Drosophila melanogaster: one gene and its partner. The protein of the gene in region 1 interacts with the protein of each later gene in a pairwise test. Each region holds a gene or a part of one and is shown on either strand. Other genes may lie near its edges.

Region 1 (3,633 bases):
AACTGGGATGTGCGCTTTACCGGAAGCACAGGCTCCGGCGTGGGGGCATTCTCATACAGTGGCAGGACCTCATCGCTGGGTTCATTGGCCACCTCGCTGGTGCTGCCGGAACGCTTTTGACGTGAACTCCCGAACAGGTTGTCCAGCATGTTCTTGTATTTCTTCTTCTTGGCCAGCTCCGATTCGGGATTGGTGCTGGACCGCGCAATCTCGCCAAGCTGGGCGCACTCAAAAGTGTTTATTCGCTGACGGTAAGGATGTGCGGGCAGCGGTGGCGGTGAAGGAGTCTCCATGACTGACGGCTTCATCTCTTCGTAAATGCCGGATGCGATTGAGACGCGGGAGATGCGGCTGCCGTCAAAAATCTCCTCGTATATTTGCGAGACTCGCGGAGAGAGAGCGCTAGCGTCGAGGGTTTCCGGCAGGTTAGGCAGTGGGCCCAGACCTCCGGGACCCCTGCTCAGCCGGCGCTGTTCTAGAAAGACCTGGCGATAAAGTTCCAGATTCTTAATCGACTTCCGCATCCATTTCATGTGACGTCGGCAGGATGTCTCCGTTTCCAGGGCGAAATAGATGAAGCAGTCCCGCCGATTTTGCGTCCAAAACAGCCCGTACGAGTGCTGCTTCGTGCGCGAGGTAGCCAGGCTCAAGCTGACGCCCGGAACGTTTACGGAGACGCTAATGGGTTTAGCGGGGTGACACTCTTGGGAGTGAGACTCGGTCTCCATGGCCTGGAAACTGAGCCGCAGGAAGCAGGGCACACACTTAATGGCCTCTATTTTCACTTGGCAGCGGGTCCATGTCTTGTAACGCAGCGCCACTGGTCGCTTATCGTGTGTATCCAGCTTGGCGTCCATAGTCATGGAGATTTCGTTGTGGTCCATCTTGGGGCTACTGCTACGTGGTGGGGCGGATGGAGGTGCGGTGAATGAGTTGCGAGTGAAAAATAAAAAAGTAAACGATCTATATCCGCTACTTCGAGAATTACATCTTTTTTGCGACTGGGTGGAGCTCTTATCGGCTATTCTCTTATCGCACGTTTATCCTTCGTGTCCTCGTGACGTGACTGGCGTTGCCACCTGGCGGAATATCACAGAAATCGCGTTTCTAGAAGACCAACAAATGAATTTATAACTTCAATATACATCAATCAAACTTAAGGTGCTCAGCCTAAGCTACACAGCTCTTTTAAGTTCTTTATTTATACTTTTAAATGCTAAATGCTTACATGTTATTTGGACATCTTGAGTACTAGCTTAATAAGAAGGTAGTATCCAAGCAATTCTTATTTATAATCTCTTAACTAATTTACACAATCTTTTAAATTATTTTCAAGATCCATAACCAGGTCTAAAACCAAACAAATAAAAACTAAAATCCTATTTATACTTCGCTTTATAGCTATTTTAATATTTATTATTAAAAAACGCTAATGATGTTTTCAAAAATGTTAGGCATTTCCTTTTAGTATTTAAAATTCTACATCCGACATTGGGGTATATTTGACTTCTACTTGGCTGAGTATGAATTATGATTTGCAAAAGAAGTAAAAATTTAACTTTAAAATTAGGTATCTGTCTAACTGTTTTTGTCGTTTAAAACACAGGGTAGGTATGGTTTTCTTTCAATTTAAAAACATCGCTAGAAAACTGTTTCCAAAAAGTAAGCTGCATTTTTTGTTTTTAGTTTTGCTTTATACAGAAATTTTAATACTATACTTTTTTGATAAGCATCCACCAGCAAGAATACAGCAAGCTTTTATTTAATATTTTATTAACATAATTATTTAATATGAATGATTGGTAATATTTTGAAGTACTCTACTACATAGCAGTCGTAGGATTTGTTATTTTTCACATTATTTTTGTAGGTTTGTAATTATATTTTAAGGGATATCTTAATTTTACATTCCTAAAATAATTTGGTAACTTTTTGCGATAGTCGTGACACGAAATCGAGGGATGAAATTGCATGTGATGCAGCCCCTTGAGCAAACAGTGTTGGACAACAGCGCGCGGCATCGGCATTTTTTGGCGGCCATTACAACGAATGGAAAACTGTGAAGCGTTGCGCACAAATTAATGCATAAACAACAGACAAGCAAGTAGCACACGCTCTGCCGCCTGACAACCAAACCCACCGAAAGCACAATACACATCTCCGAAGATGTCTTCGAGCGCTGCCAGGGTCTACATCCAAGTCGAGACAGAGGCCGAGCAGAAGGAGCACCTGAAGCAGCAGAGACAGACCCTGAAACCCTTGCAGGGCAACGTAAACGATAAGGAGAACCTCACTGGTTCAGGGCGCGCCTCCATCGTGGATCAGCTGAGTCGTCTGAAGGCCGGCGTCCAAGTCGCGCCCAAGTACGGCAAGCGCAAATGCGTGGACACGGCGCCCGCGATTTCCACAAAGGATGCGGATACCCAGACTGATGCTGAGGCCGTTCCGCTTGGCAATGCTGACAAGCCCATCACGGCAGAGGATCTCACTAGCACAGCCGAACCCGGCGAGAACTACTACAAGCTGCTGGCCGAGCAGCGGCGACTGGCGCTGGAGGACTCGCTCACCGAAAACCGCCATCTGCACGAGCGCATCGAGGGGCTTGAGGAGGAGATGGACACTATGCGCCAGGAACTGGACGAGGCCAAGAATTTGGTGGAGGTCCTGAAGGAGATCTGCGAAGAGGACAACAGCGAGGTGGAGGAGGACGACACTACGGGTGACGAGGACAAGGTCAACGCCTAGGCTACACACCAATCACACGTTTTTTTTAGTCTAAGGTTTTACATTTAGTTGTAGTTAAATATCGCGTTTATATCCCTGTTCGTCGTCAGCCAACACAACGGCTGGTCTAATTGTACGCCAGCAATATATTTACTTGTTACACGCCAGTTATAATCCTAATAAAGTTTTACATTTGCACAATTGCACACAATATTTAATTCGTATTCCTGTATTTTATGTGCAACTTATATAAACCATTTCGCATCCATATGCTAGTTTAGATATGCTCTTTTCCTTTCATTAATTCTACATCAAAACAAATGTGTTTATTAGCTTACATCAATGCGGATGGATTTCAATGTGTGGGGAGCTAACGCAAAAATAAAATACTCAAGGTACAACATATTTTTGAGACAAATATTTATTGGATGTAAAACTGTGAACTGCTACTTAAGCCAATCTGTAATAACTTCCTCGCTGTGGAAGTTATCCACGTCAAACTGCAATAAAGGAAGAGAAAAAGGTAAGTTTGGGAAGAGATACAAAGAACTAGTAACTCACCACAACGCACTCTTCGTAGGTGGGTACGGTGCCCACGATGTCTACATCGTTTACCACAGCGTTTATGTAAGCGGCATCTGCCTCGGCTGCCGCTATCAACACCGCAGTCTCGGAATCATCGGTCTCAGCGACGTGTGCAGCATCAGTTGAGGTGGCGGGATTCTCCTGCTCCTCCACCAAACCGTGAGCCGACTTCATGTGCAGGCGCAGGGCGAAGAGACGTGCGTACTCAGCTCCACAAGTATTACAATAGAACTTCCCAGCTGCCTGGCTCTTCGAGGTGGCCGCACTCTTAATGTTCGGCGTACCAGAGCCGACACTTCCTTTGCTGCTGATCTCCTTATGGGT
Region 2 (8,114 bases), on another chromosome or scaffold:
TTGAAAATTGTATTTGCGGTTGGGTTTCAATACAACAAATTTATCAAGCACTCACTGAAAATGGAATTGGCACTTTAATTTTTTGTTAAAATGGTCTGAGGATCTTAACAATGATGTATTTATTGATTAAGTGTGGTTTTAATGAACTTCAAAAACGAGATTATTTAATATGTTATTAGTTTTATTCGTTTTCGTACAAGTTTCTTTAGGTTTTTGATCAGACAAATTTGTCAACCAGTTTTTTTTTTTTTAATATTTTTATAGTGTGCGAAAATATTTGTATTGAGCGTTTAGAAATTTAATAATTTTTTTCTGTGACTTGCACGACGAAAATGTGTGGATTCAACTGGGTTCTTGGACACAGGTATCTTTCAGGGAATATTGGAGGTATTGGGAACCGAAAACGAAACCGATTCGGAGCGGAGCGGAACCGAAAAGTCGAGCGACGCGTGCACTTACAGCGACGTCTGAGCAGCAAAAACTCGAGAATAACCAAAGTGCGGCTCAATTTATACGAGGAGTCGAAAAACACAGACCAGAAGATACATTTACAGATGCAGATACAGATACGCGTTCTCTTTGTGTTAGTGTATCTCAAAGATACTTCTAACCGTCACTCTCTTACGCTCTCTCTTCGCTGTGGGGGTGGTCTGTCTCCGCTGTTATCGTTATTGCCGCTCTCTCTGCGCGCTCTGTGTGTTTTGGTTATAAAAGTGTAGTAGATTTTTGGCATTTATCTGTTTTTGTTTTATTTGCATATGTTCAATATGCACGACCCACATTGTTGTTGGTGTTGTTGTTGTTGTCTGATCGCGGCGTATAGAAATAATACGTATACACATGTGTATATATACACCGAATGTACATATTATCTCTCTCGCCCCCCACTCGCACTCACACACACACACTCTCACGCACCGCACACATACAGTTGCACCGCCTGAGTTCCGCTGCCCGTCGGCACAGTCCGCACACGGTAACAATTCGAATACGAATACGCAAAACGGTCTGGCGAACTGAAAACAGCCAAAACTTTTCGCCTGCGCCGACGTCGACGTCGGCAGCGCAGCTGTTTGGAGCTGTTGGGGCTCTGTTAGGCCCCCACGCTGTTAGGGCTCTGTTAGTTCGGCTGCTCTCTCTGTTTGTTATCAGTGGCGTGCGCTCTTTTATCAAATTGGAAAGGGGATTTTGGAGATCAGACAGATCGACCTGGGTTAAACTTTCAGCATACCGGAATATTAGAATACATTACGTTTATAAGGGAATAATTGAAGTGGTTTTGATAGAAGTACCAATTCTTTCATAGAAAGACCTTTATTTTGATTGAAATTCGACAAGTTTGACTTTCTCTTAGCTTGGCTTAGTGTTTTTTAACTTACGAATCACATGTAGTACACAATATTTATTGTTGCATATGTACAATAAAATACATTTTCTGCAAATGACTCAACCAAGATTTTTCGTCTGGGTGGGGTGGGTAATATAAAAAAGTGAAGAGAAGTGATGGATATTCTAAGTCTATGATTCGATTGATTAATTTCTTATTATGAGCTATACATTATTTTCACTAAGGCATGAGGAACAGCTTAAAGCCTGAAAGTTTTGCATTTCAAAGAAAAGTGTTTATGATGAGGAATTTTGGTGGTTTAATGTTCGTTACATTAATGCTCGTTACATTTTAGTTAGTTCCAGCGAAGTACTAAAAAGGAATACTTTTTGCAAAACGTGCTAAATAGTTTCTATAAGTTGCTTTGTGTGTTTACCAAGTGATTTTTGCGATTAAGGGTTATCTCTTAGGTTATGCATCTGCTGTCTGTCGGTGCAACTGACTTTACAATATAGTCTACAGTCTTGGAGGCTAATGGAATTCAGTTTGCGAAATTCCTCGAGTAACTCTCTGGTCGCCTATTAATATTCATATGTGCAAAGTACGTATCAATTGCATATTCGGCGCAAGGTCGTCTGCCAAGCGGCCAGATAGATAGGCAAACTGTCAGATACGCGTACTCATGCAAAGTCTGTGCGCAATAATCAAGCAAATTGAGTGCAACGCAGGCGATGGCGCAGCCGTATCTATTGGCTACTCTTTTGGCAAACTCCCATCGATATCGGCTCGATTCGCAGCTAGACGGCTAATTACGTGACATGTTAGACGCGAAAACAAGTTAAACACGCTCGTTCGATTTGTGTAATTAATTGCAGGCCGAGACGAGCGAGAGCTCAAAAACAAATTCACCTCGAAATGTGCATTGAACTTTTGCGGTTGCTTTTCTCGCCGCCGCCGGATGAATGTTGTTTTCCCTTTTCGGTGGCTCGCTTTTTTTGTAACCAATTCTAGTTGCAATCCGCTGCTGATAACCCGCAGATGAACCCATGGGTGTTGGAGCTTCCACATTGAAGGGGGTTACGCATTCTGAGTGGGCTTGTTGGTGGGTGGGATGGGGCACGAGCAGCTGATGCAGCTGATGTGTGTGTGTCAATGTTTCAGCTTGTAAACAAACGGCAAGCAAATAATGACAAAGTCGACAACGAAACTCCAAAAGTGTTCCTTATTGTTTGTTGTATTGACTACATCGCTGGGCTTATCGCTAACCGTTGTCAGATGGAATAAACATTCACATTTATATGTGTTGCACACAATGTGGTGTGGTATGTATGTGCAGTGGGGCTTCCTTATGACGAACTTGTATATTACATATATTCCTATAAATATTAGGTATTTTTATTGCTAATAAAATAAAAAGTAGAAAAAGCAAAAGCTTGCCATACAATTACTTTTACTAATTCTTATTTCTTTAAGCGATTTCCCTAATTGTTGTTAATTTTTAATGAGCTTGATATTTTACTACTGAAAGGGGAATTGGATGGGGAAATGTTCTTATTTAATCTTGACTGAAAGCAGGAAGCACGCTTATGAATTGGATGAGTTTGAAGCGAATAGAACGGATCAAAAGTCGGAGCTGGCCTATAATGTGTGTCAGTGGTGATAAGCAAATGCGGGGGGTGGGAAAACTATTGTATAAGATCTGAACGGAGTCACTCGATTCTACTCCTCGATCGAATACAGTTTGCATTCGTTATAAGGGTACTTGCCTCTGCCACTCCGAGTCGCCCCATTCCCCGAGTGTGCCTGCCATGACTAATTAAGTAACCAAAAAAGTATGAAAAGAAGGCAAAAAGCTGCTCAAATTCTCAGCATTAAAACGTGCCGACAACTTTGTAAAGGCTGCCAAAAATGCACATTTTTATTTATATTCGCACACAAGTTGTTGGGACATGCTTTTTTGGAGTTGGAATCGATGCGAAGGGTAACTTAGCTGACACGTGAGATTTGAATTTAGCATTTGGGATAAGTGGAAAATGAGAATTATCTTGAAAGTATCTTTATTCGGATACTATTTTAATATGCATTTGATTTTTGTCAGACTAACCATAAAGATTAATCTTTAAATATGAATTAATTAGTAGGTAATAGTAACTAACAGAATAAGTACAACAAGATTTCTTAAGCTATAAGAAATGTAAATATTTAAAGATAATACGTATGTTTAAAAGAGTTAGAAATAAATTCGAAATGAATGTGAATAGATGCTTTTTATAGTCTAGCCAATAATTTGTTAATTATTTCTTAAATAGTGAATTTGCAATTGAAAGTTCCAACCATCATATTAGAGTACCAGTGGGTGTGTTTTAAGGGGCTGAAAGTCGAATTCCTGCCACATGGAGTTTCGATTCCTGGACTCTTCTGCCCGTGTGAATCATGAGCATTAAGCATAAAACCGACATTTAGCTGATTGATCTTAATAAGAATTTTTGCGGCGGGGCGGGGCATTCGGGCGGAGGATGGCTAACGGATCCGTTGGGACGGGTCAATAACATTGTGCGGATGCCTCCTTCTGATTCTCCCCCATATGCATCCCCATATGGATCCACCGATGTTGAGTCCCTGAATTTGAGGGCGTTGCTGGGCTGCGCCTGCGCAACATAACAAACTTTGTGTTTGTTTCCCCCACTCGATGGCGTTTCTTTAATAACTCAGAGTCGAAGTCAGAAATTTTTGGAAGCGAGTAGGAGCTGGGGGGTTCCCTTGTCGGAAATCTGAGTTTGCTTTGCTGAGTTATGTTGCATAGGGTTCTTTCATCCGACTTGGTGCGCGTTTGTATCTCCCAGTATCTTGCGATATAGATATATCTGCGATTTGCACCCAGAACGGATGTCTGTGCTCGATTGTTAAATTGAAATTTGTCGCCAAAAACCAGCAGAATTTGCAAAGCAAATTTCCGACCGAAGTGTCTGGCCTGTTGCATATTTCATATGTTTTGATTCTTGTCTAAAGCTACAGCTTTTTGGCGATTCCTCTGCAGATTTATGCGCAAGTGCTTAATCGAGGCAAGGATACAATAGAGGGTGGAAAAACTGTGCCAAAAACAGCAGTTTTCATTTGAAATCTTCGATAAAATGCAAGACTTCAAGAATTTCAGATTCTACGGTTTTTATTTTTATTATATACTATCAAATGAGGGTATTTTCAAGTAATTATTTCTGATTTATGCGGGTAACCATATTTTTTCTAAGAATATTTAGTGCAAACAAACAAAAAGCCCATAAATCAATTCACTTTTATTTGACTTTTCGAGTGCATTTGATTGTTGCTCTCGGGGTGAGCAAATTGCGCAATATCTACGTCGATTTTTGGCCGTCTAGCAGGCAAATTAAATCAAGCTGCACAGCCGAACACGAAATATATAACCTGATTTCGATGTCTGCAATTCAAATTAAATGCAATTAAACCGAAATTGATAGAAACAAAATCGAACGAATCCAGCAAGCTCTGCGTCTGCTTCTCCATTTTTTTTCCACGATGGCACTTGACAGCTCCTCCTTCTTTTCTGTTCTGATTGCCTTTCCTTCGTCCTTTAGACATCTCAAATTTCGTCTAGCCGAAGTCTACGCTTCTAAGGGGCTTATAAAAAAAAGTATATATAAAAAAGAACGAGACAGAAAAAGGCCCTGGACTTCTGGTTTGGGTTTGGGGTTCGCCTGTCTGCTCCCTGTCTGCTGCGTGGTTCCTTTGTGCTTGGCTTAGATGCTAGTCGGGTTTGGACCTTTTTTTTATGTTGTTTGGGTTAGTCTGCCGAAATTCTGGGTCTTTGTTTTGATTTCGCATTTTGATATCATCTTTCGGCATGTGCAAAGGGGTCGGAGGGGTGTGAGGGAATGTCGCTCTCAAAGCCGAATTTTGTATATATTATATGCGGGATTTATAGAGCTGGCAGTTAGTAGCGAGTCTGGTTGATGCAAGCCAAATTAAATAAATAATTAAATTATACATTTACAAGTATGGAGTTTCCTTGCCTATTCATAATTATTATTTATATTTAATACATTATTAATCTTTTACTGTTTTTATTATCCCTGCTGATTCACTACACAAGAATGCTGTGCTATTTTTGTAAAATAATATTATACATAGTTGTATAAAATTTATTTATATGTTTAAGGTTCCACATAATTTTTCGTACTACAAAAAACCCAATTAAGTTCTTGTTTTGTTTGGTATAGTAGACATACAATGGCTAAATTAAAATTAAAAATTAAAATTAATTAAAATCAACATTTTCAAAGGCCTTGTTATCTGAAGTACCACAATTACATTGTACCCTTTTATAGCCTTTTAACTATTGTCATTAACTATATCAGTGATAACAATTTTATGTATTTGTATTAATCTCTCATTTCAACTACTATCTATCGTTACTAACAGTTTTCTGCCAAAACGATTTTAACTTTTAATTTGATTTGACTTTAATTATTAGGCAAAGTATCATTGGAATCTCTTGGATGAACATCATTATGGTATTTAAAGCTCTTGATTTATCAGATTTCATTTCTTTGTATTAGAAACGTAATCAATGTGAGTTATTTTTATCATTTTTATTTATTAAAAATTTTAAAATTATTATTATTAAAATATATGTATATATTTGATCCGCAGATGTTTTCGCTCATCTCTGGCGAAAAATTACTCTTCCTCAATCTTTTGGCTGCCGAAAAAGTAGCCAGACGAATGTCCACATGTGCCGGGTATGTTGTATATAGTATCTGATGTCTGGACTTTTATTGTATGGCTGACCTTGAATTTATGGAAATTGCATAAGTGGGAAGAAGTTTGTCATATTAAGAAATATACTGGAAGCATAGAAAGCCGAAGGCAGTGATGGTGACATAAACGACCAGACCTTGGCATTGTGTTGAAGGACTGTGAATCGAATTATTCGAGGAAGTTGCTTGAATTATGGCTCAAGGGGGTACTTTGAATTTATGAGTATTCAGGATATTAAGAATGTCTTTTTTTTCGCCGGCCAGCACCATCCATCCATCTTCCACACCCCGAAAACCAAACGAAATCCGCTTCCTGCTGCCAAATAATTTACAACTTGCGAATGCGATGCACAGGCTATGGGAAGAAAACAAATAATGATCAGTCGCACATAATGCATGCATATATCCATGGGCATATCGATAACCCTTATCAAGTGTGCGGCATCGCGGCCAAAAATATACAAATTATGCTTACCAAAAGGCAGAGAAAACATAAATCAATGGTTTTGGAATACTCTAACCAAGACAGCAATGTATGAAACTTCAAACATTTTTCCTTATTTCCAAATTTACTTAAGAGATATTAAGATAAGTATACAAGAAGTGCAAATTTGTTGTACCTACTTAAATATTCATATGCATACATGTATGTACATACATATATGGTTATTTGCGTGTGGTTGGTCGCCTCAAGTGATGGGCGTGGCACTTTCAACTCTGGTTCAACCCATACAATCATGAAAACTCTGACCAGATCTTGCCAAAAATGAGCCCACCTTGAACCTGAGTTTATCAAATTGCAGTCATTTTGCTTGTGGTTTTTATAGTACTTTCAAATAACTGAGATTAGTTGGTCAGTATCGTTACAAAAAAAAGGGTAAAAGTGATCGACTTTTTCACTTTCCGCCAATTTGAGGATATTTGCAGAGATTTGAGTGTTGCATGATTCATAATCGAACATTTATATCATAAAAAAGTAAACAGTTCAGTTGCTTATTTATTACGCAGAATTGCCTTAAGAGTTCAATTAACCATTAAATATTTTTAGAGGTGAAACAACGTTTGCCCTCACTTAATCGACAAAATTTGAACTAATTCGAATAAAATTAAGAGTCAGAACGAATTCACGAGTGGCTAAATTATTGTTTAAAATGACCAAGGGCGTGAGGATTTGCAACGATGGATTGCCTGGTTTGCCGAATGAAAGGCCATATTCCCGAAGAACTTTAGATACGCGGCAAAAGACTCAGAAGATGTCCTCCAGGCCATCTAGGAAACCATTGCAGTCTCTACAAACTGTCGGTCGGAATACGAGTTCCAGCCTGAAGCGCATAGGAAGTCCGATCTCCGAGGAAGAATTTGGTGTCCTGGTGCAGCAGGATTGTAAGGCAGAGCAGCATCACACCGATCGCCAAAACCTGGCGGACATAATCCTTATGCAGGCCCGTCGCATCGAGAAGCAGCAGCGGGAGATGAAAAGAATAAAGGCGCACTATGAGCGCCAGGTGTCCACCATCAAGAACAATGCCATCATGCTGGAGTCGCATCTGCAAAAGGTGCTGGCCAGTGTCGAAAGGGATCGGGCCAAGCGGATTGGCCACCACTGCCAGGACATGCTCGGTGCCGTGGAGAAGCTGCAAAGGAGCGACATCCAAGTGAAGCCGCAATCTTCGGCCAACCAATTGCTGATCCAGTATCTTCACTCCAAGAAAATTTCGCATTCGACCAAGAAGTCCAATGAAAACACAAGTAGGTACAGGAATATGTTGTGAATCGTATTCTTGTGTGTACATTGTGGTTTCACTGGGTTTTGTGGTCAGCTTAAATTAGCATATATGTGTATTAATAGAAGTACAAGTTATTATAAAATAAAATAATGGCAACAATGAATTTATTTTATTTTACTAAGTTAATTCTCAACAAGGACGGAGTTGGGCACAATCATTATCTGTTCTATTCCTCGTCCTCCTCCGAGGCAGTTACATCCACGATCGCGTTAGACATGCTCTGTT

Evidence for each region. The genes of interacting proteins can lie anywhere in the genome.
Region 2: the proteins of geminin (region 1) and CG6333 interact in a two-hybrid assay, tested with the Drosophila melanogaster proteins (2 studies listed by BioGRID).

Annotation. Positions count from the first base shown.
Region 1 is NT_033778.4:6,654,763-6,658,395, reverse strand, and holds geminin (geminin), read left to right. Parts: upstream 1-1,801; 5' UTR 1,802-1,870; intron 1,871-1,941; 5' UTR 1,942-2,166; coding exon 2,167-2,745; 3' UTR 2,746-2,933; downstream 2,934-3,633. Other genes in the region: sced (scrambled), read right to left, coding at 1-884; Opbp (Optix-binding protein), read right to left, coding at 3,171-3,224, 3,286-3,633.
Region 2 is NT_037436.4:17,480,005-17,488,118, reverse strand, and holds CG6333 (uncharacterized protein), read left to right. Parts: upstream 1-1,888; 5' UTR 1,889-1,928; intron 1,929-5,816; 5' UTR 5,817-5,914; intron 5,915-5,995; 5' UTR 5,996-7,253; coding exon 7,254-7,874; 3' UTR 7,875-7,990; downstream 7,991-8,114. Other genes in the region: qjt (quijote), read right to left, coding at 8,056-8,114.